7 separate regions of the Mus musculus genome follow, and regions 1, 2, 3, 4, 5 and 7 are each reported to be linked to region 6. The links are microRNA targets in miRTarBase. Many come from high-throughput screens and were not tested one by one. Region 6 holds a microRNA gene; each other region holds the end of a gene's coding sequence.
What was found. Region 6 holds the annotated microRNA mmu-miR-5121 (AGCUUGUGAUGAGACAUCUCC, at 1,215-1,235, shown strand). A microRNA usually pairs through its seed, bases 2 to 8, with sites in the 3' UTR of a target mRNA and lowers its output. Matches are read on the target gene's strand: a 7mer-m8 pairs with bases 2 to 8, a 7mer-A1 pairs with bases 2 to 7 and ends in A, and an 8mer does both.

Region 1: miRTarBase lists Tmem234 as a target of mmu-miR-5121. Seed matches in the 3' UTR shown: 7mer-A1 at 880-886.
Region 2: the mRNA of 5730455P16Rik is a reported target of mmu-miR-5121. Seed matches in the 3' UTR shown: 7mer-A1 at 2,365-2,371.
Region 3: miRTarBase lists Cdc42ep3 as a target of mmu-miR-5121. Seed matches in the 3' UTR shown: 7mer-A1 at 2,819-2,825.
Region 4: miRTarBase lists Inka2 as a target of mmu-miR-5121. Seed matches in the 3' UTR shown: 7mer-A1 at 3,079-3,085.
Region 5: the mRNA of Atp2b1 is a reported target of mmu-miR-5121. Seed matches in the 3' UTR shown: 7mer-A1 at 3,224-3,230.
Region 7: the mRNA of Cep97 is a reported target of mmu-miR-5121. Seed matches in the 3' UTR shown: 7mer-m8 at 814-820.

What each region holds. Positions count from the first base shown.
Region 1 is chr4:129,606,850-129,610,926 of GRCm38, forward strand. Tmem234 (transmembrane protein 234) reads left to right here. Exons shown (of 5, transcript NM_029748.3): 4 at 238-330; 5 at 607-1,680. The coding sequence ends at 701. It overlaps Dcdc2b (doublecortin domain containing 2b), which reads right to left. Exons shown (of 7, transcript NM_001195730.2): 2 at 4,060-4,077; 3 at 3,482-3,628; 4 at 3,367-3,406; 5 at 2,766-2,892; 6 at 2,233-2,336; 7 at 1,081-1,499. The coding sequence ends at 1,482. Among named protein-coding and RNA genes, the nearest start is that of Dcdc2b, 5.4 kb to the right of the region's middle.
Region 2 is chr11:80,360,191-80,364,267 of GRCm38, forward strand. It overlaps 5730455P16Rik (RIKEN cDNA 5730455P16 gene), which reads right to left. Exons shown (of 10, transcript NM_027472.3): 10 at 302-3,828. The coding sequence ends at 3,622. Among named protein-coding and RNA genes, the nearest start is that of 5730455P16Rik, 16 kb to the right of the region's middle.
Region 3 is chr17:79,331,246-79,335,322 of GRCm38, forward strand. It overlaps Cdc42ep3 (CDC42 effector protein (Rho GTPase binding) 3), which reads right to left. Exons shown (of 2, transcript NM_026514.3): 2 at 2,478-4,077. The coding sequence ends at 3,480. Among named protein-coding and RNA genes, the nearest start is that of Gm17315, 21 kb to the right of the region's middle.
Region 4 is chr3:105,716,794-105,720,870 of GRCm38, reverse strand. Inka2 (inka box actin regulator 2) reads right to left here. Exons shown (of 2, transcript NM_175398.4): 2 at 29-4,077. The coding sequence ends at 3,657. Among named protein-coding and RNA genes, the nearest start is that of Inka2, 14 kb to the right of the region's middle.
Region 5 is chr10:99,022,366-99,026,442 of GRCm38, forward strand. It overlaps Atp2b1 (ATPase, Ca++ transporting, plasma membrane 1), which reads left to right. Exons shown (of 21, transcript NM_026482.2): 21 at 443-3,778. The coding sequence ends at 754. Among named protein-coding and RNA genes, the nearest start is that of Poc1b, 83 kb to the right of the region's middle.
Region 6 is chr7:45,124,083-45,128,159 of GRCm38, reverse strand. Mir5121 (microRNA 5121) reads left to right here and starts at 1,169; the gene lies at 1,169-1,242. Rps11 (ribosomal protein S11) reads left to right here and starts at 3,771. Exons shown (of 5, transcript NM_013725.4): 1 at 3,771-3,863. The coding sequence starts at 3,849. It overlaps Rpl13a (ribosomal protein L13A), which reads left to right. Exons shown (of 8, transcript NM_009438.5): 2 at 592-664; 3 at 886-951; 4 at 1,068-1,169; 5 at 1,366-1,451; 6 at 1,623-1,682; 7 at 1,923-2,045; 8 at 2,128-2,597. The coding sequence ends at 2,214. Snord35a (small nucleolar RNA, C/D box 35A) reads left to right here and starts at 1,725; the gene lies at 1,725-1,813. It also overlaps Snord34, Snord33 and Snord32a.
Region 7 is chr16:55,901,500-55,905,499 of GRCm38, forward strand. It overlaps Cep97 (centrosomal protein 97), which reads right to left. Exons shown (of 11, transcript NM_028815.4): 11 at 1-4,000. The coding sequence ends at 3,669. Among named protein-coding and RNA genes, the nearest start is that of Nxpe3, 8.2 kb to the left of the region's middle.

The DNA.
Region 1 (4,077 bases), not on the chromosome of region 6:
GCAGAGGCAGGCGGATTTCTGAGTTCGAGGCCAGCCTGGTCTACAGAGTGAGTTCCAGGACAGCCAGGGCTACAGAGAAACCCTGGAAAACCAAAAACCAAAACCAAAACAAAAATGTGTCACTGTGACTATCTTGTGGTGACCAACTGTGATGAAGAGGAGAGGGAAGAGGGCATGCTGCAAATATTTTATCCTGAGAAAGACATTCTAGGAATTTTTCTTGTTCTAATTGCTCAGATCTGACGTTAGCTGTGCCCATCTGCAACTCTCTGGCCATCGTCTTTACACTGATTGTTGGGAAGGTCCTTGGAGAAGATATTGGTGGGAAAGGTAAGTTGGGTGGCTGCACGTCAGGGCATGGTTGCTTGGGCCTTGGCATACATGAACATTTTCCCGATTCTGACTCCCATGGGTGGTGAGGAGAGGCCTTCCCTCACGTTGCCCTTTGTTCTACCACAGCTCTCCTGCTTGCTTGTGGCCCGCAGTCTCCTTTCCCTGAGCAATCTGGGGGCAGGGGCTGGGATGAGAACCAGGACCAGGGGTCACCATCTTGTCTTCTTCCTTGGCCCCACTGACCCCAACCCCTTGACGGGTTCTTTATCGCAGAAGCAGTGGCTGGCATGGTGCTCACCATCACAGGGATCACCGTGTGCATCACAAGCTCGGTGAGCAAGACCCAGGGCCAACCGTCGCACTCCTGAGTGGGCCAACCCCGACCGTCAGCTCTGCTGTGCTCGGTGGATGCTGGGCCCAAGGTGTAGGCAGAATGATTGGCCAGCTGGCCTCTCTCATCTCTCAGATCATGTCTATCTCAGGGGCCACAATAAGAAACATACTCTCCATAGTGCCAAGGCTACACAGAAACCCTGCCTCAAAAAAACAAGCAAAGCCGGGCGTGGTGGCGCACGCCTTTAATCCCAGCACTTGGGAGGCAGAGGCAGGCGGATTTCTGAGTTCCAGGCCAGCCTGGTCTACAGAGTGAGTCCAGGACAGCCAGGGCTATACAGAGAACCCTGTCTCGAAAAACCAAAAAAAAAAAAAAACCCAAAACAAACAAACAAGACGAAGGGCAGCACTGGGAAGGTTTTGTAACCTTTAGTGGGTTCCACGGTTGAGATTTAGCACTGGAGCCAGGCATGGTGGTATACTCCATTAATCACTCAGGAGGCAGAGGCAGGTGGATCTCTGTGAGTTTGAGGTCAGCCTGGTCTACAAAGCAAGTTCCAGGACAGCCAGGGCTACACAGAGAAACCCTGTCTTGGAAAACCAAAAAGAAGAAAAGCATTAAAAGGATTTAGCACTGGAGACTGTACAGCCACCCTCAGCTGCCATCTTTGTCTTCCTGCTGCCACCTCAGGCAGCTGTTACTCAGCCTCCGTTACCTGCTGTAGACTGTCAGCATCCTCACACAGCGCCTCCATTACATGGAAAGGGCTGGCTGCAGTCTCAACCAGGAATGGCCAGAAGCCTCCACAGCTCCATTACAGTGCTTTGGCTGGCTGAAGGTGGGATTTGGGGACAGAAGTTACATCAGAATGTCAGATGGAAGAAAAACAAGCTGGCCCTGGGCAAAATGCTCAACTGTCAGCCCCGCAAGTAGACAGCTGTGTGCCGGACACCACCTAGCTGCAGCAAACATCTGGCCAGCAGCAGCTTTCAATAAATCTACAGCAAACAAAGCTTAGCAAATGTTTTATTTGTGTTGAGTATGCAGTGTCTCTGGCAGGATCACATGAGGAGGTAGCCTCCACAGAACCTGCCTGTGGGCCTGTGACTGAGGAGGCCACACCTACTGTGAGCCCAGGAGGCATGGCTTCTCCAGAACAGGTTGCTGAGGGCTGGGGACAGAGGTGGCTGGGAGTGGTTGTCCCCCAGTTTGTATCTGGAGCTCCCAGCTCTTAAGATGGAGGAGCATGGGCGGAGGTTGGGGCTACAGCTTCAGGCCCAGGCTGGTGTTGCGCAGACAAGGCCTCTTCTGCTGTCTCTGCTGCCCTCTGGTGGATGTGTGGAGACATACAGAGCTATGTGTGTGCCCAATTTGCATGGACTGCCAGAGGTCCCCAACCAGGAAAGGCGACTACTGGATATTTGAACGCCTCACAAGGGAAACAGGAAGCCAGGCTTTCAGATTTAGATCTGCTTAGCCACCAGGAAGACGAGCCTTGGAGCCCAGACTTTAGCTCAGATCTCTGCCCATCTTAAGGCTCCCTGGTGTCCATGTGATGGGCTTACCTGATCCACAGGCTCCTCTGTGCGTGTGTTCTCATCCTCATTCACTTCCTGAGCCCCAGCCGTCTCCTTCCTCGGGTATGGAGCCCCATACACTCCCGTAACTCCTAATAAAGAGGCAGCATTGGCCGATGCCCAGGCTGTAGGGCCCTCAGGCTCCTGTGCCTTCACCTGCTACACCAGTTGGTTCCCCGCAGCTGTGTCCACATTCGCCAACGCCTCGGAGGGTGACTGCCTGTGTGACGGTGGAAGGAGGGAACTGACTCCACAGAGTTGTCCTCTGACCTCTACATGGCCATGGCCTGCATGTGCCCATGTGCGTGTGTACACACAACAGTGAATACAGACGGAAATAGAAGCAAGGGACATGCAGGTAGAGGGGTGGCACATAGCTCTGCTGACTCATTCTGCTGCAGACATCTCCCAGCAGCAGCAAGGCCCATCCTCTCACGTCAGAGGGGGACTAATGTGAGAGCTTTCCTAGTTTGTGTAAGCACAGGTGCTGATGCAAAGGGCCAGCCCCAGGGCCCCCTCACCTGATGGAGATGAGAGAGCAGGGAGCTTGCTCCAGGGCTGCTGGGGCCTGGCATAGAAAGTGGATGGCCCAGTTTCCCCTGGCTCCTTTGGAAAAGGCTGGGCTGCTGAGGCCTTGTAGCCCTGGACCTATAGATGGGACACTGGGTTAGAGCTTCGTATGTTTTCATCTTTCTCACTTCCCAGTCTACGCTTCGGTGTGCCTTGCTGCCTGTGCAAGCTTGGGAGAGGCCGTGTGCCTTCTTCATAGCCTGCAGCCTGCCTGCCTTCATTCCTACCAGGCTGTCTATCCAGAAATAGTTGAATTGACGCTGGCATTCAGAGATGCCCAGTGAAACCAGGCTGCTTTCTACTCTTGGGCCACATATGCACTGGCTCATCTGGAGGAACAGAGGCCTGGAACAGGGCCGTGAGTGGAAGGTTGGGCCCTGCTCTGCCCAGTAGCCAGTTCCAACACCCAGCCTCGTGAGGAGGCCTTTTTGCCTAGGCTTGAGAACTTGAGTTCCCACCCCAAGGAAGGGGGGAGGGATGGAATCCTGGCTTTTCAGGCTTGCTGAGCAGGTGCATGGGGTGTGGTGTGCGGGTGTTCCGGTTGACACCTACCCTCTTCCTGTGGGCTTTGTACTTCAGGCCTGGAGGACACCTGCAGTGAAGGGGAGGTTAGAGGTGGGTCAGAGGGCACTCACTTCCTGTGATCCTCCACCTCAGACAAACCTACCAGCAGCCCCTGGACAGAGAGGGGCTGGGCACCAGCAGCTCCATATAGGGCAGGGCCTTGAATTCTTCTTCTCCAACAGCCACGTAGTAATGGCCGTTCACCAGAGCAGTCCCTGTGGACAGTGGAAGCCCCTCGAGGGTGCAGAGTCTGTGAGGAGAGGTAACAAGAAAGAGCTGGTGGGTGAAAGGCAACTTCCTACCCAGTAGGCACTGTGCTCCAGCAGAGGACCTGAGTCTGGTCCTCCAGGCAACAGTCAACATAGGCTCTGCCCTGACTAGAAGGGCTGGGTTAGGAAACGCAGCTGTCCTGGGTCATGGGACTTGACATGGACATAGCTGTCCTCAGGGGCATAGGAGGAAGGCCTGCTGGACAGCACACACCCTCCCCAGGAGCAGACACACACAGTGGCGTTCCTTAGGGTGCATTCTCCCTTGTTCCATACTCGTGTACAGCCCCCCCTCACCCCCCACCCCGTGCTCACTGTGTACAGCCCCCCCTGCTCACTGTGTACAGCCCCCCCCCCATGTTCACTTGTGTACAGCCCCACCGTGTAACATTGCCCCTTGTCCTATACTCACTTGTGTACAGCCCCACTC
Region 2 (4,077 bases), not on the chromosome of region 6:
TTTTACACAACAAATGAACCATTGTGAGAAACCTGTTTACCTCTTCTGTGTGCATTCCAACAGGTAATCTGAGTTTTTTTCACACATCTTTGTGTGTGTGTGAAGTATAATTTCCATGTAAAATTACTGGAAATAATTAAAGGTAAGAATTAAGCTCAGTTAGGTAAAACTACCTGCCTTGACCTGGAGTTTTATCACTGTTACACAGAGGCATTTTTACACAAGGCCAACATATTTCCTGCGTACTGCACATAAGCACTCGTTTACTTCGCATCTGAACAAACACTATTTAAGCCTTTAATATTTTAAAATTAATTATTTATTTACATTTCAAATGTTGCCCCCCTCCCAGCACCCCCTCTTAGAATTCTTCATCCTATTCCCCCTCCCCTTTGTTCTGAGAGGGTGTTCCTCCATCCCCCAAGCCTTTAAAATTTAATACATTCACATTAAAATTTGAATATGACAATAGGCTTATGGTTATGAGCTGTTTTTCATATCAACAAGATAATTAATTCCATGACATCTTTTTTCAGTGGTACAGAATTTTGCAGATTCTTTGTTTTTTTGTTTTGGTTTTTTTGAGACAGGGTTTCTCTGTATAGCCCTGGCTGTCCTGGAACTCACTCTGTAGACCAGGCTGACCTCGAACTCAGAAATCCGCCTGTCTCTGCCTATGCAGATTCTTTTTAAATATAAGACTACTATATACAATTGTGTAGTGTAGTGGGCTTACATTACAAAGAAGTACCTATAAATAAGCAAAGAATATAGAGTTATGTTTTTCCTATATCCACACGTGACTTAATGCATCTCCTTTATTATTGTTTTGGTTTTCTTTTTACCAAGACAGGGTTTCTCTGTGTAACTGGCTATTCTGTAACTCATTCTGTAGACCAGGCTGACTTTGAACTCAGAGATCCATCTGCCTCTGCCTCCTGAGGGCTGGGGTTAAAGGTGTGCACCACCATTGCCTGGCTGCATTTGCGTTTATTTTTATTATTTTTTGGTAGAGCATTTGCTTTTATTTATTATTGGTATATATATTATTATTTGTGTGCACAAACATTTGGAGGTCAGAGGACAATCCTCAGGAGCCATCTACCCTTCTGTTTTCTTGTTTGTTAATAGTTAGCTCTGAAGGATGCATAGACAGAGTGAGAGAGAGAGCAGCTTGCAGGAGTGAGCTCTCCCTCCACCTTCACATGGGCTCTAGACTTGCCAGCCAGGGCCTTTATCCATTGAGCTATCTTTTTTTTTTTTCCATTTGTTTTCAGATAAGGTCTCTGCTGGCCTGAAGCTTACCAAGTCAGCTGGGCTGGCAGTAAGAACTGAGTCTCCTCCCCAGTGCTGGGACTACAAGCACATGCTAGCACTCCTGCTTCTGTATTTAAGTCCCGAGGATCAAACTGAGGTCCTTACGTTTGCATAGCGAGTACTTTACACTGAGCTGTTTCCCTAACCCCTACACTTACTTTTAGAATTCTATTTGCTCCTGATTGTGAATTTAAAAATAAAGATTACTATTTTAGAGACTCAAAATCTCGATGTCCTAATGTCGCTCATTTTTAATGATTTCCAAGTGGGCACCAAGTGCATTGGGAAAAGATTCAAGAAAAGTACCACAGAGCTGCTGACTATCCAGCCGTCAGATAGCTATAAAAATGCTACTTACATTCTTTTCTATACTGCCTATAATCCAAGCTATTAAACTTTAAAGCCATATGAAAGCATTTATGAAGATACTGAATTGTATTTCTCATTAAAGGGAAAGGAAGGGCGTGGTGACTCCTATCCCTAGACTGACTTATGGAGAAGCAAAGGCAGAAAGCCATATCATTAGTCTCTTTGAAAGTTAGAACTCAGCTCCTAGCAGGGTTTACAAGCAGTTAAGAATGCCTCCGTTTCACAGACTCATGCTCCTCTGAGCATCCCAAAGGCAGTGAGAACATAAGCCTTCTGATTTTCTAAACCAAATTCATTACCAAATGGATTTATTAAAGAGCTATGCAGAACAGCTACGCGTGTGGCTGCAGCTGGCACCCATGGGATGAGAAATGACGACTCAAGGGCTCTTGCAATTGACTCAGGGCAAAACGATCTGAGGCTTATGACAGACAGAAAGATCTAAAATCAATGAGCAATTGTGTTGAGAGGAATTTGTTTACATTTTTTAATTTTTAAAATATTGTTTATTTTCTTATTTATTGAGACAGGGACTCACTCTGTAATTCTGGCTGGCCTGAAGCTTACTATATAACTCAGTAAATCAGACTGGCCCTGAACTCAGGGAGTTCCAACTGCCTACGTCTTGTGGAAGGTTACATTCAAAGACATGAATCACCACATGTGCATTCTTATATTTGCTTGTAAAGGATATTTCCTATATTAACTGTTTTATTTCCCTTTTTCTTAATACTGCTTAAGAATTCCAGCATTTTTATCTAGAAATAAGGAAGAAAAAAATACAGGCTCCTGGCAAATAAATACCTATTGTGTAAATTGCCACAAGAGCTTTTTAGTCAGAGAGAATGTTTCATCTTGAAGCTAGTATACCCTTTCTTCTCTCTCTTCCTCTTTCTTTTCTTTCTTACTGGTTTTAGATTATTTTATGTGTATGTTTTGTCTGCATGTATATCTATACACTACATGTGTGCCTGACGCTTGAGGAGGTCAGAACAGGGTGTCAAATCCCCTGAAATTGAGCCACCAGGTAGGTGCCGGCTCCTCTCCAAGAGCAACAATGCTCTTAACTGCTGAGCTGCCTCTCCAGCCCACCATATCTTCATGTATTTATTTATTGAGTATGTAGCTCTGTATGGGTCAGAGGCAACTTGTGGAGTTGGTTCTCTCCTACCAAGTGAGTTTGGGGATTGAACATAGGTTGTCAGACTTGGTGGCAGGTTTCTTTACCTTCTGAGCCACCTTGCCAGCCCACAAGTTTCTATACATAAAGCTCATTTTTAAGTGCTTATACACTCATAATTCGTGTGTATATTCGCTTCAAAAGGTGGCTTCGTCATTCCTGCCCATTGGTTTGTATCAGGCACTCAGAGGATGAACAGGCTGTCAATGAAGCGAGCTGATGGTGCAGTAAGACCAGGAAGGTGATGACTGCCCTGTAGTCCAAGCTGGACATAAACTTACTCAGTAGCTCAGGCTGGCCTGGAACCTCACAACCTCCTGCCTCAACCTCCTGAGTAGCTGGGATTATAGGCATGTGTCATCACATCTTGCTAGGATCATGTACTTTACAAACTTCTACATTGTACTGAGAAAGGCATACTATGTTTCTTTTGGAGGAGGAAATCCTGCTAAACACTACGGTAAACTCCCAAGAAGCCAAAACTCATCTCCAGAGCTCTTTAGGCAGCACGTGCTTAGGATTTATGAGACAGCAAAATTCCCCAGCTGTAACACAGCGTCTGCCTAGGACCTGGTGAAGACATTCCTCTGATTGTTGTGTTTAATTAAATTAAACAAAAAAAGCACAAAAGGAAGAAGCTGGGGTGTTTCCAGTCATCTTAGGGCAGTGCAATCCTATAAACAATGGTAATTACAGCCCCCACATGCAGCCTCAATACACTCCATGAAACAGATCCTCAACACGGGACTGGAACTTCAGACAAGCGCTTCTCTCATGAATTCTTCAAGGACAGCCACCACACTTTTGGCCTCGGGCATTTCTTCATGTTCCACTTTAACAATCTTCAAAAGGATATCTCCACTGCCACAGTTCTTAAGGAACATGTAACATTTAAACAGAGCGTAATGATTCATCTCTGCCTGTCGGATAAATCTCTTCAAATTGTTTGTGTCTTGTATAGCCTAGAAAAAGATTGCCCTGTAAGTATGTTCAGTGACATGATGATGATGCTTGAAAAATACCCCGTCTCTAGCTGAACACTCATCGGACACTGATAATGTCGGCTTTTGTTTTGTCTCTTGACACAGGGTCTCACTATGTAGCTCTGGCTGGTCTTGAACTCTGTCTCCTGAGTGCTGGGATTAAAGTTATGTACTACCCACCCTGCTAATGTTGAACTTTAAAAAAAATACCCATTATTCCTATTGCTA
Region 3 (4,077 bases), not on the chromosome of region 6:
GTTGGATCCATCAACTGTGTTAGTATGTTGAGCAGTGACCATTTACTCGCTTACAAAGCAAGCATCTTGTTTATTCAGCACCACGAATTAATATGTATGGCTACTTTTCAGCAACACAGCTTTCTTGAGTCTCATACAGCTTAAAGAGGTCTTCGGGTGGCTCACCATGTGGTGTGACATTGAGAATGTTCTCTTGTTGTGCTGGATCTAGTCTGAGAGTACGGGTGGGGACACAGGACAGTTGTATTATATTTACACCAAGGGCATGGGACACAGTGGTCTATTTATATACCTTAGTTGCTTACCATTCATAGTCTAGGAGGCCAATCCTAAACCGGAGGGTTTTGTCTGGGGCTAGGTTGCCAGTATAAATTCCCAAAGTGAGACTCACTGCAAAGAGGGCAGCATCCTGAGCTGCTTTATTGTTGCTGAAGCTCAAAGCAAAATGGCTCAGTCATCCCAGCTTGGCATTAATGGGAAGACTAGAAATATAACATATGCTCTTTTTTTTTGGTTTTTTTATTTTCTAAAATAGTTATCAAGTTAATTCACAGACTCCCAGGTCAGCACCATTCCATGATGTACAGTATTTGCAGTGGCCTTCAGTGAAAAGACCTAGCTTGAGGCTGTATCCTGGGTTTCTGGTTCTCCTTCCTGCTCAACCAATTGTCCTCTATGTGCTTGTTGACAGTGATGCTGGCCCACTGAGATTAATGACTGTATATTATGAGGAGCAAAGGACTCTGATATTATTTTTAGCATGTAATTTTTGGATGGAAAATATAGTTTGTTAGGTCTTACTGTCCATGAAAACAGACATCTACCTACACACAAAACAAAAAACAAAACTTTGCCTACTTTAAAAGGGTCACTACTTATGCAAATGATGACATATTTTTGGTATGTGGGTCACACACAGGTGGCTTGTCACTCATTTTTAGTTTACAAATGAAGTCCATTTGGGTTTCCTTAAATTCCTTAAATTAAGTGAAGATAAATTAGGATGTAAGTAGGATGGAGACACAGCTTGAGAACATCAAATCAGCTCTCAGCAGGTAAGAGTCTAAAGTGCCTCTTTGTAGGACAGAAAGTTAACTGCCACTTGGGCACCTGTTCAAGAGACTGGACCAGGCCATTTTCTTATAATAGGAGCGAATTTTTTGCTATGTCAAGTATACCTACAAGTGTACTTGAAGGTGTCTGTGTTTTAGTTGTTTGGTCCGGACAGAGTATGGATTTTGGAGAATATGGAGTTTAGTTTGGAAAAGTCAAGTGGGTAGACATGTGAGGGATGCAGAAGATGAGACTTTACCAGAGCCGTTCTCCACCATGGCTGGAAAGGCAGCAAAAAAGATGGAGACAAATCCCTCCCTCTTTCCCGGAAGTCATACAGCAGACAAAGGGTACAGTGAGACTGAATATGATCAGTAATTAAGATGGGAAAGTGTTAAGAGAGTTTGGCTGACACCAGCTACAAAAAAATGAGCTCGTGCAACTTGGCCTTAGAAAGTCTAAGAAGTTTCTGACCCATGACTGAGTGTGATCCCACAGAAAGGAACACTGGGAAGAAGCAGAGTGGAGATGCAGGACTTGGGGTTGCTTAATAGACTCAACGCTCTAGGGGAAACGATTTACTCTGTTTGGTTAGCCACCCAAAGTGGATCTCACTTCCTACGTTCAAAGGTTATCCCATGCATTATATGATTGAAGTCCAAGAACTCTAAACCCCAGGCCAGAGTCCCTGCTGCTGCCTTGGTGAAGGTGCCCTAGGGATACATCAAGCTGAGGGAGCTGGCACTCCCTGTTGGCAACAAAGCTCAGAGTCAGGAGGGGCGCCTAAAGATAGACAGGAATCTGTGTGCAATTTCCTGTTCTGGGTTCCTTAACCAATCTCCTCAGGGCATCTTGCAAAGGGGAAGGGCCCTTGAGTGGTCCTCTGAAGCTTCTGTGTCTGTAGGACCTACACAGCAAGGGAGCCTTTGTCTTACAGGATAAAATGCTGTAGCCAACCTTGAAGACAGGCATGCACAGGGCTTTGGTGGCCCTGTGGCAAAGGCTTATAGTCTTAGCTCCCCTCCCCCATCTCTGTCTTCTCTTCTCTCTTTTCTTTCTCTTTCTTCTCTCTCCTCTCGCTCCTCTTTCTATCCTCTCACCTCTCTTTCTATCCTCTCACCTCAATCTCAATCTCTCCCCCCCTTTCCACTTCTCCCCTCCCTCTCTATCTCCTCCCCTCACTCTCTTCCTCTCTTCTCTCTCTCAGCATGCAGGTTTGTATAAGCCAACAACAACAATAACACAATGATTGCCCATGTTCATTTCTCTTAAGTGTTCCTATTTCTAGAACCAAACTTGTAAAAAAGTCAAGACTGCAGTCATCTCTTGGCTTATGTTAAAGGTGTGGGTACATTTTAGGACTTTTACTAGATGGTCTTAAAATCTTTTCGGTTCTTGTTTATGACTATAAATGAACACGTTCATTTTAGCATTTACTCTTTATTGCGTGGTATGATGTACCCAAGTAATGTGAACATGAGCTGTCCTTAAATACCTACCTCACCTCCAGTCTCCACAGAAGCATCACCCTGTGCCTCCTACTGGGAGGAGGTAACACCCGAGCAACAGGGTCAGGCTGATAACGCATAGGGTTGGGCTGGTTTTGTTTTCAAATACACACGCGTAGCTTGCAAGGAAGCCCGAATGGAAACACGACAAATAACACTTGATGTATTATGTATAAAATGTAGACTTTGCAATAAAAAGCCAAAGGCACATAAAAATATATTTCAACTTTAAAAATAACTTAGTTACAGTAATACCTTGCTTGTTTTTAACCAACATGTAGCTGACAGTCAAACTTTTGCAACATGGAAATAATATACAGGGATATATAAAAACCACAAGGAAAAAAAATCCCAAATCCTGTAAGGTTGCTCGAATATGCAAAGAGTAAAATCATAACGCTGGAGACTTCGCTGTGGTGAACCCAAAAGATACAATATACAAAAAAGGCTAGGAAAAAAAGGCGTAGGTGCCAAATAAGTAAGTTTCCTTCTCATAACATGCAATGAATTGCCTTGGAGAGACCCATGGACCCAGCCCTCTTAGACAGCCTGGATTTCTGCATGTCTACAAACAAAACTGAGCATGTATGAGCATCAGCAATGCCTGTTGAAAATGAGCTCTGACTCACTTCCTCCTTTTTCTTTTCTTTTTTTTTCTTTTTTGCCAGAACAGGTTTTTTTGTTTTGTTTTGTTTTTTTTAATTTTTAAAAATTATTGTTTTCAAAATTTTTGCAAACAGGGCATGATGGTTAAAAAAATATTTTGTAGGAACAGGAGCGTTATTTTAGAAAATGCATCACATGGCTGCAAATAAAAACAGTCAGAGCAGCTCTTTCCATCAGCTGTGGTTAGTTGATTTTTTTGTTTTCTGCTTATTTTGGTACCTCTTACTCCCAAGAAAAAGAGCTGACTCCTGGCTACTTATTTTTATCCATGACATTCAGGACTTCATCCAAAAGTGAAGGCCCAAGATCCAACTGCAGGGAGAGCAGGGAGCCGGTCAGGTCAGAGAAGGACTCTTCTGATTTAGTCTTTGACTTCACAAGCTCACAGGAGGCAGGATGCTCAAACATGTCGTCCGCGGGCCAGTCGGAGGACTGTTCCGACAGGCTGGAGGAGTGGCTGTCGCGGCCCTGGCTGGACTGAGACCCGGAACCACTGGAGCCCCACGAGGTGTCTCCCTGGTGGACTGCCCCATTCTCTAACAGACTACTTTGCTCCTGAACTTTCTCTTCCATGACAGGCTCACAGCTGAGCCTTGGCAACTTAGGACGCCCAAAGGACTCCTGTTTGGAATGAAATGTCACTGGGGACAATAAGGGCAGCATCAGAGCCTGGGATCCCCCAATGGTGGGGAGGGAGATGGCATTTTTGAGCACCGGGGAGGGTGTTTCTGTGAACATTGAGTCCGAGGTGCTGTTGGCCCGGAAGAAGTCGTTATGCCCCGGGAACTGGCCAGAGTGTGCCTTCTCTTGGTTTCCCGGCAAGAGCTCATAATTCCCTTGAAGAAAGGAA
Region 4 (4,077 bases), not on the chromosome of region 6:
TGTGTACTTTTCAGCAGACCACCAGGGCTCAAAGTAAAGCACTGTTTATTCTCAGCTTTGTCCATGGTTAGGCAGGAGACCCGAGGATAGTGCCATTTCTGTGGAATTTGTGTGTTGGGATTAGCGTTCTCCACCACTGGTGTGTTGTGCTGTGTGCCTGACAGCATTCCTGCTTCACACAAGAGCAGAGGAGCTTCCAGCAGGTCAGGCCACATGCTCAGGTTCACACAGTGAAAAGCCTAGGTCTTGATTCCTGTCTATTCAACTCCAGATCAGGAATTCATAGAAATACTGGTGCTGGCCAAAACACCTAAGTATCTTGGTCGGGAAGATCACCCAAAGTGAATGGACACTTCTGCAGGGAAGCTGCAGACAGGCCCCAGTTCCACAGACAGGCTGGACTCATGATTTTATCCTGCAGAGAATGTTAGGGTAACTTGAGAAAGAAAGTGCCCTCTTCTATGGAGATTCTGGGAACAGGTGAGCCAGGTAGTAGGTGGAGCTGAGCCAAGTGTCTGTTCCTCGGGATTAGTTTGGGTTAGAGATCACCCTGAGGGTAGGCTACAGAAGAGCATAGAGGAGAGAAGAAAGAGGAAACAGAGATCTGGCCGCCTCTACCAACCGTGCCCAGCAGGGAGAGGCACTTCCAGTAGATACTGTGGTTGGAAAATATCTACAGGCTGACCACAGACAGGGATGCAGAGAGGCAGGTAGATCTCCGAGAAGATACCTAGGCCAACTAGAGGCCTGCCAAGGAATTAGGCCAGCTGTGGGGCAGGCCTCTATGCCAGGAAGGGTATTAAATGAGCTTCCAGCTTATTTACTTGTCCTAATTAACCATAAAATGAGCCCAAGGGGCAGAATTTAGCTGTCAATTTCTCTCTGCCTATTATCACCATCTCTTCCCATGACTGCCAGAGCATTTCTATGCACCTCTTCACTTCAGTGACACACTCTCCATTACTGTCTCAGCAAGAGCCAAGGATATGGACAGGAAAGTAAAAGTTATATGAGGTTGAGTCACCATAAGCTTTCATCAACCAAGCATGACCTAGTAGTTGGGACATTATATCAGCCACTCTGAGACCCAGGCAAAATTCCTCCAAAGGGTAATTAGCATGCCACTTGTCAATCATGAAGAGACATGAATAATCTCAGAAGACAAATGTTATTCTTGATCTGGCTGTGGAGCAAATGTAGACAGTTTGCCAGGTAGCATGAATGTAAGATTGGAAGTCAATTACAAACTGATTCAATCCCAGCTTTGTACTGTGTGACCTTGAAAGAGTTAACTTCTCTGAGCCTATTTGGGTAAAATGAGCAACCATTTCCCAGGTGTAGAAAGAAAGGAAGGAAGGAAGGAAGGAAGGAAGGAAGGAAGGAAGGAAGGAAGGAAGGAAGGAAATAAGAAAAATAAAGGCAAAGGTGCCTGACACATATGTATTATCTTAGATGCACAAATTACTTCCTAGTTGTTTTGTATTGGTCCCCTGACTCTGTTCACTGCATTTCTTTGTGTGCCTTGGTAGATGTGGAGGCCAGCAGCTGGTTCCTTTCCTATCATTGAGTTCTCACCTTCTATTACAGTGCCCAGACAAGCAAGGAGTCTGTCATGTTAGTTGATTTAATGGCTGTAAAAGTGGCTGCTGGGGTTTGAACTTGGGACCTTTGGAACCACAGTCAGTACTCTTAACCACTGAGCCATGGTTCCAGCACATGTTAGTTGATTTAAATGATGTGAACTATGACTGGTCCACAAGCCAAGAGAGTTGTCCATGGATGGTGAGGAGGTGACCTGGCTTCCTATGCCATCAAAGTCCATGTCCTCTTGGATCATCTGTTGAGTGTGCCACCCTTCAGGAGTCAGGGTGTGGGGTTTTCACATGGTCCTTCTTCACACACATCACAGCGGCCATCAGAGGGAGCTACCGTTATCTTCCTTCACCAGAGACAGAAGTTCAACGGAGACAGGATGGACAAGGACATGCTTGACCAGAAAGAGTGAGCTCAGCTGACAAACACCAGGCCAAAGTAGATAAGCCTGATGCCCACAGATTTGAGCTGGGAACTGCTTTCCTTTTTGAGCAGCTTGATGGGGGCAACGTGCATGCCAGGACCCTTTGACCCCATTGATTAATCGTTCTGAGATAGGTACATTGCCTAGCAAAAAGCTACAGATTTTTTTAAAAAATCCCCACTCTAAAAATAAATAAATAAAGCCATCTCTCATTTAACTTGATGGGAACTTGTGGGCAACCCTTCCCAATCTTACTGTTACCTCCCCATCCCTGTCCCCTAAGCTCTCCCTTCCTCCTCTCAGTCCCTTGGGAGTCTAGACTGCAGGCAGAAGAGCTTCTCTTGTTATTTTTCTTCTCCAATTTGCTCTTAATGCTCTGGGGGCAGCAGGCGGCTTGCCTCTAATTGCAGTTGTCACACCCCATCAAGCTGAGCTAGGTCTGCCGGAGGGGGTGAGGGAGGAGCTAAGGCACCCTCCGGGATAGCTGGGCTTGAACAGGGGCCTACTTTGTTCTCTCCTGGCTAAGGGGTGGGGGCTGAGATGGATTCCTTATGGACCCAGGCTTGCATGCCTGCTCACTATATAAAGTGCCTGGCATCAACCCCACCCTGCGGGTCCCCTGTTGACTTCCAGGTTGATGAGGATAGATGTGTCCAGCTCACCGCATGACTATGAGATGTAGACTAAGAATTTTTCTAAATATATGGGTATTATTTCTAGGTTCACCCCAACCATCTGCTGCCCTGCAGGAGCATTATGGCAGGCAACAGGGGTCAGGATGGGCTCTCACTGCTGGACCAGGCCGTGTGTGACTCTAGGGTCCATTTATAACCATGAGATCGGCCTGCCCTGTTTTGTCTCCTGGCAGCCGAGTGTGTTCTCAGAGCTTGCTGCTTTATGAAATACCATGCTGGTTGGGCACGCCTACTTGGACTCATGAGACAGTGCCTGCGTGAAAGCACGTTGCTTCTCCTCTGCTCTTTGGAGACCTAGGGCTTCTCAGGCTTCCTCAACACACACACACACACACACACACACACACACACACACACACACACACCTGCTTGTTCTGGGTCCCCAGTACCCAGCTATGGGCTAAAATCTTGGTCCTAGTAAGGTCTGTGATACCAACCCTTTACAAATGAAAACCCCTTGCCTGTAGCAGTGCCTTGTCAGGAAGCAGACCATTAAAATGGTTGCGGGTCCCTGAGACTGGTCTTTATTGGAAGTTCCTCTGGGAAACCTGAGGGCTCAATGCCCCTTTCCATATAGGATGTTCAAATGAGGTCTTGGGAAGTAGTGGAGGAGTAACACAGGCTTCCTGGACTCCTCTCCTGCCTCTCCCAATTATTGTCACATCCAGCCTCAAAGAACACCACCACCACCACCACCATCACACACACACACACACACACACACACACACACACACACAAATACACACATTCTCTCTAGGGACTCAGCTCAGCCTGACCTGTGACAGACAGCCTCTCTCCACTTGGTTCTACTGAGGCCTGACTGAGAACTCTTTCTTTCTTTCTGAGGATGGGAACTTGCATCTGGTCTGAAGACCATGCCATCTGCCCTCCCTCTCCCCCAGGGCCCTCACCAGTCTGCATTTTAGGTTCAGTGAGCATCTCTCAGACCCAAACAGCTGTGTTAATGTCAAAGCCCCTACAGGAGGGTTCTAAGGCCTTGGGGCTGCTTGTGGCGGGGGTTTCAATATGTCTGGGCTCTCCTGTGCTTGAGAAAGGGAACCGTCCTGAGCCCTTAGAAAGGCTCCTCTTCTTGACTTTCTTCGAGCGTCCTGCTCGTGACTCAGAGACCATGGGAGTCATCCAGCCAGGCTTCTCCTTGAGCAGCCGGTCTCTGTCGGGCCGCACGCTACGCAAGAACTTCCTAAAAATGTTTGCGGTTAGGGCAAACTTACGACCCAGCTCTCTGGACTGGCCTTTTTCTCCTTTGGGTTCAATGGATCCCCCAGTCTCACCCTTTTCCCCGCCCTTTTCCAGTTCTGGTAAATCTAGCCAGTTACCCACCAGGTCTGCAAAAACATTGTCC
Region 5 (4,077 bases), not on the chromosome of region 6:
ATTCCTAGCATGATAAATAGTCCCCTTTGTGCTTGACATTGTTAACCTTGAGTTGTTTTGAGAAATATGTGCTTTTTTATTTAAATATAATTCAAGTAAGCTTGTGTATGGCTAAGTTCTCATTTTGTTTTGTTTTTGTTTTTGTCTTCTTAGGGAAAAAAAATCCTACAAAATGGCTATTAAATTTGTAGCCAGTAACATTGAGATTTTGTTAGTTTTTCTTTGAACGTGTACCTCTCGATTAGAGTACGTGGTTTCGTTGTTCTGTAGTGTCCTACTAAAATATTCATTTTTTTACAGTGTATTGCAAGTTCCACTGCATTACATGCAAATTCGATTCACTCATACCTAGCTGTTTGTGGATTCAAACTCATAAGTGAACCATTACTGTGGCGAAGTTCCTGGCGTCCTGACATCTCTCTGTGTTTTGTGCTGTTTACAGATCCGAGTGGTGAATGCATTTCGTAGTTCTTTATACGAAGGGTTAGAGAAGCCAGAATCAAGAAGTTCAATCCACAACTTTATGACACACCCTGAGTTTAGGATAGAAGATTCAGAGCCGCACATCCCCCTTATTGATGACACTGATGCTGAAGACGACGCCCCAACAAAACGCAACTCCAGCCCTCCGCCCTCTCCTAACAAAAATAACAATGCTGTTGACAGCGGAATTCACCTTACAATAGAAATGAACAAGTCTGCTACCTCTTCATCCCCAGGAAGCCCACTACATAGTTTGGAAACATCACTCTGATTGTAAGATGAATGGTAACACACTAGCTGCATTGTAAAGAAACAAATCGAAACTGAGTCTTTTCACATATTGTGACGGACAAGATAGTATTCTTGTCTCTGGACTTCAACAGAAGACACACTTGTACGAATGTAGATTTATTTTTTTAAAAAAAACAAAAGCAAAGCTTTCTGCCAGACTGAGGGTGCTTTTTTGGGGTGTGGGAGAAACGAACTGACAGATGAACAGCGGTGACTCGGCAGGAGTGGCCTGTGGGTCGTCAGTGGTACCTAACGTTGTCCTGACTAGCAGAGCTGTGGTTTATCTCAGTTCTTGATGGGAGGGAGGGAGGAGTGACGCTGGGTGAGACAGAGAGCCCTGGATCATTGAGTGAATACTTTAATTTCTGCTGTTGGCTGTTAATAATTTGGATTATTTATGTTTATAAATGATACAGATCTGTTTACAAGGTTTGTAGATACTTTTTTTGTTCTTCATAGACGGGAAGCTTCCTTATAGTAATGCAGAGAAAAATTAGTCCTTCAAATACTGCTGTATTTTCAGGAAAAAAAAGGGGGGGGTGTTTCTATTGAAACTGTACTAAATTTTTGCCTACAATTTATCTTGTTACATATGTAGATAAATTGCTAATACTAATAGCCAAATAGATAACACTAATGCTTTGTTTAAAAAACAAAAAAGAAAAAAGAAAACAAGACAAAAAAAAAAACAACAAAAACCATGAGCAGTGGTGTTCTAATGAAGTTATGGCATCTGTCCTAATTAGTTTCTTAAATACATTTACTACTTAATGGTTTTGAAAGAACTGTTTAATTTTTAAATTTTTTGAAAACTTGCTAATAACCTTTTGTTCAGAATTTAGTAGATTGTTTATTGCGGGACATCAAATACACAATGAAAGATGCTTGAAATGCCTTTGTTATTTCAGGCCAATCAAATTAAACTATCAAAGTACAAGAGAAACCTTTAGTCTTTTTTTTTTTTTGTTTTTGTCTAAATATGTTAGTTCAGTGATGTCTTAGTGAACTGTGAGTGACTGCATTGATTTTTCTAATAACTGCGTAGAGACCTTCACACAGCATAGAGGGGGCTGTTGGCATTTTGAGAAAGGTTAATAGAGAGAGGCATACATCGTTTCCTTTTGTTTTTGAAACTTGTTTGTAAACATAAATAAATATGCCCTTTTATTAAATAAATACACAGCAATGGTTCTTCAGACAGCTCAGCTCCTTGGTTCTCTACGTGTGCCGCATTGGCCTGTCTCCTCTAACCACAACTAGAATAAATTTCAAGCTGGTGGCAGCCTCAGGAAGGGCTGTTTGAATCCTTTCTTGGTCACCCCATGGAGTCGAGCTGAGACAGCAGTTTTGCCACCTAGCACACCCTTCATAGAATCTACTTTTATCTAAAGTAAAGTAGTCTCGCCATTTTATACGAAGTAATGACCACAGTTGTCTGATGTATTTGTTTTTTATTAAGTGTCCCAGTCACAGATTAGATTAAAGGGATGGCGCATGAAGATTTGAGGAAGCGGCTAAACACGATCTCTGTAATAACCAACTCTATGCCGAACTCTATGCTCATCTCTGAGACAATTGAATTTCCAGGCTCTCTGCTTCTTTTCTGTCTACCTTCTTCCTTTGTCTGCCTCTCGTCTTGACCTTTTAGAAAGTGGTATTGTTTCAGGGCGCAGATCTCGCCAGTTAAACAATCCTCAGGCTGACCTAAAGTTTACGAGGACTACTACATCCAAGAATGCTGACCTAGCAAAGAAACATCTAGTTGATGGTGCTTGATATATATATATATTTTTTTTTTGGGCGGGTGGGAGGAATCTTTTTCTCCCCATCAGTTGCCTGCAGTAACTCTCTGCAAGTCTTAGAAACACATCGGCTCTGTCCCATCGATCACTGTACATTTTTACTCATCAGGTGTTTGTAGTTATTCATACTGTAAAAAGAGGTAGCATGATATGCTGGGACGCATATTTAGACCAGGAGCCCAAGGTGGACTCCTCGTCTTGAATTTGCCATTAACGTGCTGCATGATCTTGGGGCAGTGACTCACCCTGACGGAGGGTGGGGGACTCCTCTTGAAGAACCCTTTCAACTCTAAGAATTGACCCTATCCACTGAAGAAGCCTGTGAGGCATAGGGAATAGAGAAAGGGAAATGTTCTCAGCTTTCTTTTTTATTTTGGTTATGCTTAAATATGAATGTAATTACCAAGAGAATGAGACCTGCATGTGCTCTGGAGGGTTTGTGTCTAGCTTTTCCGGTTTTTTTTTTTTTTTTCCAAAACTCAAGGCAATGGCTTTTTACCCCACCTCTAAATCCATAAGTGGGTCTTAGGACATCCGTGAAGTCATAATAGCAAAACACGCTCGGTGTGCGTTTCTCTCTTTGAGACACTGTAATTTCTACCAGAAATGTCCACAGCATTATGTAAGTAGGAAAAAAAAAAAAAAATACAAGCAAGCTGTTAAAGATCTTGGATCCCATTCTATAGTGTGTATACCTAAATCAACATCTGTAATTCACATTTTTCTCTTTTATTCTCTAACCAAAATCAGAAAGAAAAAAAAAACTTGTTTAATTTTGCATCCCAAATGTTTTTAATCTTTGTATATTTTTTAGACTCCCTTTTCTCCCCATCATTGCCTTTCCGTGGTTGTAAATAGTTGTCACACTCTGAGGATGAGTTACGTCTTGTCATCTTACAAATATGTGATATGGTAATTTTCATAACAGATTATCAGTTTTGAACCAAGAAAATGGTGATTTGTTTATAAGAGAAAAAAAAACAAAACAACAAAAAAAACCACCTGGCTTCATTTCTGTGAAATTGCTCTTTGAAACTTTCATTTCCACGTGTAAGCCAACTGGGATACTACCGTGATGGTGTTGATTTCTTTTAATGATGCTTACCATCTCTTTTAGCCACTGAGCCTTTTATTATTTGTCTATTTGTAAAGTTTATTTGTCTTAACTCATTTAATAAATATACTGTTTATCTGTTTCTGAATGGGGACTGAACTTTTTGACCCTTGGGATGATCTGAACACCATATTTTGGCATTCCTTTTTTCCTACCTGAGATTTTTGCTTTTAACCTACGTAATGCAGAGTCTATAAAATACTTGGAATGTTAGGATGGGTACGGGGACTCCGTGTTCTCATGCAGTTGCCTGGTTTCCCCTCTCTAAGGGAAGGGGGTGTAGTACCCCAGCTGCTAGAGTGTCAGCCCTCAGCCACAGCGTCCATTCTGCAGGCCAGGGAGGGCAGCGGTTTAGTTTAGTGTAGAACTTGTTAAGAACACTTTATT
Region 6 (4,077 bases):
CCTTGACAGGTTGCTGCTCAGGAAGTAAATGGTGCTGTTTGGGACAGTTTTGCCCTTTAAAAAGAACTTGGGAAGTTCCGGAGACCCTCCAGTAACAGCAATAAACAGGGTGGCTGTGGAATGGGCTTCTTCTGTAGTTTGGGTTGGGATGCAGACATGTGCCTCCATGCCTGAGACGGGATTTAGCTTTGTAATCCAGTCTGCACTGCTCAGAATCACAGGACGATGTGTGCTTAGCTAAATCGGGTTCTTTTGAGTGCATATAAGAAAGGTTCTGCTTGAGCATCTGAGGATCCGATGAAAAGTTACAACAGGCTAAAGTCTGAAAGCAGGTCTGGTCAATTTTGGAGTGAACGGTGTGCCACTGGATCCCAGCTATCCTGGGATTTGAGGCCTGGAAGGGTTAAATGAAGTTCCATTTTAAAAAATCAACTTATATACACAATAGGAATCCTATGCCTGCTGAGGCTTTGTTAGTACTATAGTGGCCCTTTGGGACACTTGCTTCATCTGGGTAGTAGGCATCCTGACGGGTTGCTAACCTGGAATAGGGGAAGCCAAACTGTTTCCTAAGCATTCTTGTTTCCACAGGTTCTGGTATTGGATGGCCGAGGCCATCTTCTTGGCCGCCTGGCGGCCATTGTGGCCAAGCAGGTACTTCTGGGTAAGTTTCATTCACCATTTACCTTTGCCTGGGAGTCCATGATGAGCAACACTCACCATCTTTCGTTTGAGTCTCACGACTGTGAGATCAACCCATGCACCGCTCTGAGACTCGCCAGCCCCTGCTTTCTTGGGACCCCTGGCCTAAAAATACTTTTGGAGCAAGAGATCTGCCTTCCAAGAGGCTTTGCTGACTAATCTCCAACTCCCTGTTAACTCTAGGCCGGAAGGTGGTGGTCGTACGCTGTGAAGGCATCAACATTTCTGGAAACTTCTACAGAAACAAGTGTGAGTTAGGGCTGGGGCAGTGGTCTTCAGGCGGGCTGTTGCCTTGCTCCTGGACAAGCAGGCTATCTGCTCTGCTCTTGGGTCCAAGGGTGCCTCACATACTTTTGTCCTGACAGTAAAGTATCTGGCCTTTCTCCGGAAGCGGATGAATACCAACCCCTCCCGAGGCCCCTACCACTTCCGAGCCCCCAGCCGCATTTTCTGGCGCACTGTGCGAGGTGAGTTGGTGATGTGGTGACATGTAGGACAGGGTAGGCTCTGGCAGCTTGTGATGAGACATCTCCCACTCATGTTCGAGTTGCTCGACTATGAGATGACTCTACATGCACTACCATCTGAGGCTGTTCTAGCCCTTGCCCTGGGGTCAGACGGGGTTCTCAGCACCTCTGATGAGGCCCGCTGTTACCCCCACAGGCATGCTGCCCCACAAGACCAAGAGAGGCCAGGCTGCCCTGGAGCGCCTCAAGGTGTTGGATGGGATCCCTCCACCCTATGACAAGGTGAGCCTTGCAAGCCTAGCCTTACAGCCTCTGCGTCCAGCGTCTGTGATGTTCTGCTATTACCTACATTGTTTGAGCCTCATGAAAACCCCACTGGCTGAGACGCCTACCCTGCTGGCCTTCTTGCTAGGTGTTCCCAACAGGTCTCTGAGCATCTCTTTCTCTCAACAGAAAAAGCGGATGGTGGTCCCTGCTGCTCTCAAGGTTGTTCGGCTGAAGCCTACCAGAAAGGTAAGCTCTAGGTTACAGGTTAGGCTTGTGAGCCTCAAGACTGGCACATGATGTTCTTATTCTCACGATGGTCTTCGGATGCCACAGTTAGGGCAGTGCCGATAATGCCAAAGGCTAAGCTGATGCCAGGAGGGCTCCCGTGCTGGGGATGAGTCCTTGAAATAGGGTCCCTAGGCCCTCCGGCTCACCCTTGTGCTGCTGGGGCACATTCCATGTCCTTACAGCCTTGTGCCTCTGCAGTTTGCTTACCTGGGGCGTCTGGCGCATGAGGTCGGGTGGAAGTACCAGGCAGTGACAGCCACTCTGGAGGAGAAACGGAAGGAAAAGGCCAAGATGCACTATCGGAAGAAGAAGCAGATCTTGGTGAGGACGGACACTGAGATCCAGGATTAGGGGGGCGCAGGTGAGAAGCAACCGCTCTGACATGTGTCTTTTCACACCACAGAGGTTACGGAAACAGGCAGAAAAGAATGTGGAGAAGAAAATCTGCAAGTTCACAGAGGTCCTCAAGACCAACGGACTCCTGGTGTGAACCCAATAAAGACTGTTTGCCTCATGCCTGCCTGGCCTGCCCTTCCTCCGCCGCCAACTAGGGAAGTGGGGACCAAAGGTTCCTTAGGCACTGCTCCTGTGGGTAGAGGGGACATTAGAGAGCTGACAGCGCACCACCTGCATGAGTTTTTATTAAAGTGCAAACCATGGGATGAATCAGTTGAGCTTCAGTGTTGAAAATGAGTAGCAGGGCTGCCCCACCCACCTGACCAAGTACCCTATTCTGCAGCTATGAAAATGAGATCTGCACATGAGCTGGGGTTCACAAGTGCACACTTGGAGCACTGCCTTGCTCCTTCCCAGCAGACCACAAAGCAGTATTTTTCTGGAGGATTTTATGTGCTAATAAATTATTTGACTTAAGTGTGTACGATGTGTGCTGTGCAGAGAGGGGCAGAGGGCACCAGCAGGTCATCTGCATGGGGGGCCCCTTTGGGTGAATCCTTGCTCACGGGATAGGCTTTGTTGCTCAAAAGTTGCAGATATACATCTTGGGTCCTGTCCTAGATGGTGTTACTGTAAGTCAGCACCAAGATACAAGAGCTGGTACCTGGACTGTAGGAGGTCAGGCCATGACACAAAGGCTGGGACTAAAGGCATTTACCACGCCTGAGTCTTCTGGTTCTTTAAACATCAAATCCTTCCGGGGGCTGGCGAGATGGCTCAGTGGTTAAGAGCACAGACTGCTCTTACGAAGGATCCGAGTTCAAATCCCAGCAACCAAATGGTGCCTAACAACTATCCATAATGAAATCTGATGCCCTCTTCTGGAGTATCTGAGAACAGCTACAGTGTACTTACATATAATCTTAAAAATGCTTCCCATGTTAACCACCACTAGAGTTTTTATTACAGCTAGCTGACCTGGAAGCCAAGTCCTTATGCCTCCGTGAGTGCTGGGGTTAAAAAGATCCAGCACCACTCAAAATGTCAATCTATTTTGAAAATATGCTTTATACTGTTCTAGCCCATCTGTGCAGGGCTAGAACGGTGAATACGAGAAACTGACACAAGCTTTTGCCACCTGGCTAAATGGTTCCTCTATTACCTGGGGTGGTCACCTAAGGTTAGACACTCATCCACGAGTAGTCAGGACATAAACCCATCAAAGTGTGGGTAGACGCGCAGCCTGAGATACTGTCAACAAAGGACATGCGACCTTGGTGACGTCGGCCTTTAATAAAAGGAAGAAAGGTTGACTATTCGGTCGACGCTGGCTGCTCCTGACATCGTATGGCAGATACTCTGCTGTAAAGCGGTTCACCCCTTTCTTGAGACCCGCTCTGCACGGCCGCTTCTCTCTGGAAACTGAATCCCAGCACGTGTTTCCCAACCCGTACGGCACGCCTTCTCCGCCCTAAGCCTCGCCGTACCACATGATGCACGTTTCCTCCACATCGTGCTCCTGAAATCTCGCGAGATGATAGGATCTTCCCGCCCCTTAGTCCTCCCCCGTCATGGCGGCGTACGGACAGTCCCAGGAACGCGGGCTCTCGCCGGAAGTACCTCCCACCTCCGTGAGGATAACCCCGCGTCACTTCCGCCCCGACCTCGCGTGGTGAATAAGGAAGCCGGGAGCGGCCCTGCCTCTCCCTTTCTCCGGCGGCCGGGAAGATGGCGGACATTCAGGTTCGAGCGTTTAGTTGCTTTCCCCCGACGCTTCGGTGTGGAGCGTATCCCTTGGCGTCCTCGTTGTCTTACGCATTAGCTGAAGCGAGGATGCCTGCGAATGCCTTCGTCTCAGGCGGCTCGGAAATCCGGGCTCTACGCAGTAATGGGGTCCCTGGCGCTTCGGGAGTTGGTTCTTAAAGCTCAGAGCTTAACGGGTGAGGGATTGTGGCGG
Region 7 (4,000 bases), not on the chromosome of region 6:
AGATTAGCTGTCATCAAATAAATGATTAAGATACAGTGATTCTTTCCTAAAATTTTAACTTTACTATTGCTGTTGGTGGCCCAGGTTAGCCTGAATCTCACTATGTAGCTGAAGGTGGCCCTGAACTCTCAGATCCTCCTGCCTCGGCATCCCAAGTGCTGTGATTACAAGTGTGTATCGCTGCTGGGCTGTGATGCTGCATGCCTTTAATTCGAGCACTCGTTAGGCAAAGGCAGGAGGATCTCTGAGTTAGAGGCTAGCCTGGTCTACAGAGCCACGTCTCAAAAAACAAAAAACAAACAAAAAAACGAAGTGTGCACTGCCATTTCCGGCTGCTATTATTGCTTCATACAAACAACTTTAAGAAAGTCCCATTTGGTTTTTTTGGAGAACATTCATTCAAGGTTCTGAAAGATTTAGCTGTTTGCTACAACTCTGCCATTAAAGGGCCTCTCTTAAAAGCTGTTTTTCCTGTTTAAAATGCAGCAACTTACTCATTCCTGTAAAGATGGACAGAGAAGGTTATGGAAAGCTTGAAATACACGAACATGTTTCCAGTTTACTGCTGGCTACCGCAACCTTACACAGGCTGGTTATCATCCCTGGGTTGCTGTTTCCTCTGCACAATGAAACAGTCAGTCGCTGCCATAAGGCCAGCATCTCTTTTACATTGTACAATAATAATAGCGATAATAATAACAACAATAGTAATGGCAACAGATAATCTCAAGATTCCTTCTGATTTTCACAGGGTATGACGAGTTTTTTTTTTTTTTTTTTTTTTTTTTTTTTGCGGGGGGGTGGTGGTAGGAGGCTTGTGGGCGTTTTGTTTGGTTTCGTTTCGTTTTTTGAAACAGGGTTTCTCTGTGTAGACCAGGCTGGTCTCAAACTCAGAGATCTGCCTGTATCTGCCTCGTCGCACAGGCTGAGACTAAAGGCATGTGCCAGTCTTGCCTGCCTATGTGGTACAAGTTTATGCCTCTGCAGTAACTCGAAGTGACAAGTCCTCCATAATGCGAGAATGTATCTGAGCCAAAGCAGCACAGCTGAACAAAAATCTCTTATCAAAAAAAGCCAAGTTCAAAGTTCAACTCCCCAGACTCCCTAGTCTGTTCCCTTCCCAGCCAGACTAATAAATAATCCAGAGTCACATAAATTACTATCCCTTAGTTACCTTTAAATTCTATAAACCAATAAAAATACGTTAGGTCTCTGTCTTAGTTTTCCTACATTCTGGCATATTGCATTTTCACCTATAGTCAAGATTCTCTGCAGCTCGAAGCAGGCGACTTCACATTCCCATACTTCTAAACTGAGATAAAATAAGAGAGAGGTAGAGCAGAATATGAGCAATTAGCATATTCTGCCAAGTTTTTCACAAAAAAAATATGTTGAATGCCATTTTCAGACTAGAAAACCAGACAAAAGAACAATAAGTTCTGCTGACAGTGTCTATCAGATGAAATGGCTAGATCTGACTAGATTCCATGACTTAAGAAAAGGAAAAAGCAACTACCAGAACGGCGCTCTGGGACGCTCAACCGTAGCGCTGGAGCCACTTTTCTGAAATTAATGTGCCGTGAAACAGTTTTGGTGCTACCTCAGTGAGATGTTTTTCTTTACCTGTGGGCAGCAAATGAGGCACTTAACTGTAAAAATAGAAAAATAAGAAAAATTCTTATTGCCTATTGAAAAAGGAATAAAAAAGGTAGGGTTGAGGGACGGTTTACAAACACCTGTCAGCTCCAGGTTCAAGGGAGCTGACACCCACCTCTGGCTTCCTCCAGCAGGCACACACACATACATAAATACTCTCCCTTGCACATATACACACACAAATTCTCACACACAAACACACACACTCTCTCTTTCACACACACAAGCTCTCACATACACATACAAGTTCTCACACATACACAGCACACACATATATACTCTCTCACACATACACACATATTCTCATACACTCAGACAGACACTATCACACACACAAACACACGCATACAAATTAAGTATTTTAAAAGAAATGCAAAATTATAAAAGGTAATTATTATTCAGAGTTAACTTTTCAGTTTTAATCAATCAAGCATTCAATAGTACACATCTATACTAGAGGAAATAGTTTGAACTCAAGACTTGTTCTGTTTATAAAACCCAGAAAACATGTCCTTGTCAAAGGACTCTGGATTTCTGAGAATGAAATGCAAGCCTTCTCAACCTGAGTACTATGTGTTTATGAATTCAGCTCGCCATAAGGTAGAGCTGTTCCTCTCAGCAAGTACCACATGGTCCTCAACTCTATTCTGGAAGGACCAGAACTTTTGTTTTTATATACTTTCAATTAAAGGGCTCTAATGGCTTTAATAGAATAATGGATGATATTAGCACCTACTTTTAACCAGGTTGTCCTTGAACTCATGGGAGCTGCCTGTTTCTGCTTCCCAAGCACTGGGATTAAAGGCATGCGCCACCAAGCCCAGCTGGATTTATCTTTTCTTAGTCACCAGTACATTGTCCTTCGAATATGGCACTTTTCAGAGATTAGATAAAAAAAATTCTTCAGGAAAAAAACAACATTTGCAGTCTATCAGGATTTTAAACGTTCTTCACTAAGGGACAAAGGTCACGAGTGAAATAAGGACTGAGACACAGCTCCATGGGGCATGCACAGGGCTGTAACTCCTGTGGTCCACAGACACACACACACACACTGTGAAGTGTAGCTTTGGCTCTTCTGGTGAAGTATATATAGAAATAAAAGCAAGACCATAATGATGAATACATATTGATTTCTTACGATCTACTTCTTCCCCAAAGTATTGGCACATAAATGTCAACAGCCTAAAAGAGTACATAATGAAAAGAGGCATTTGAACAGCATGGTTCCAAGTGACTAACTCTATGTCTCCTTTCTCCATAGCAAAGAGAAAGATACTTGCCCGAGCAAGCTTGATTTTAATCCTGATGGAATACCTTACTTCAAAACTGATCCACAAATTAGCTAATGTTTGTCATGAGGCAATTTAATCACCCACTTAAAAGTCTTACGATCTGGGAGTTAGGTGAGCAGCTCAATGGCCGGGCACATGCTGACCATTCTCCAGGCTCAGACTTTTAAATGCCAGCACGCACACATAAGGCACGCGCGCGCACACACACACACACACACACACACACACACACACACTAAACCTTATTCTCCCTAAGTGTTCTTATACAAGAAGGCTTTCCTTAACACAAAGGGTGGAAAGCCACAGTTTTAGGCCAAGGAGACTGCCTGGGAAATTTCACTTTTCCATAGTCCTCACCCTAGCCGTGCCTTACATATTCCATCCCTTACCATGTGACTAACAAGAGCCAAGTTCTCCTACTTAAATCACCAAAACTACTGCAAGGAACTGTTCCTGAAAGGCAGTACGGATGTAAAGGAAACATTATTGGTGTAATTATTAAGAAATAAAGTGCATATGCCTTTTAATATCAATATTGTTTAGTACAGTAGTACAATGAAAATGAAGACGTAGTTCAGTAGCTAATATCTAAAAAGTGTGGGACAAGGAAACAAGTTGTATATAAATAATAACAAAATGGGGGAAAGGGTTGCTCCCCTGCAAAAGAGACACTTGAAAACATAAGAAAATCGAATTGAATTTCTGCTCCCCAGTAAATCAGACAGGCTGCACAGTGACACCCACATGCAACCCCTGAAAGGCAGGGTCACACTCCGGAGGCTGCCCTTGGGCTTCTTCGTTTAACTGACAATTCTCTGGCGTCTGGCTAATTTCATCCTGTGAAGTAGAGGCCACTCTATGAGTCTCACTGTCAGAGGAGGCGTCAAACCTTTCCGGAGAACAAGCGAGGTGACGCTTACCGTCTCCTGCCACATCGTCAGAATCGGCCGCCTCTGCGGCATCGTCCAGCTGCTGGACGGAGGTTAAATACTGTTGGAGCAGAGTGTTGTCCTGCTCACTGGCTGAGCTCTCCCTACTGCAGTCACTGT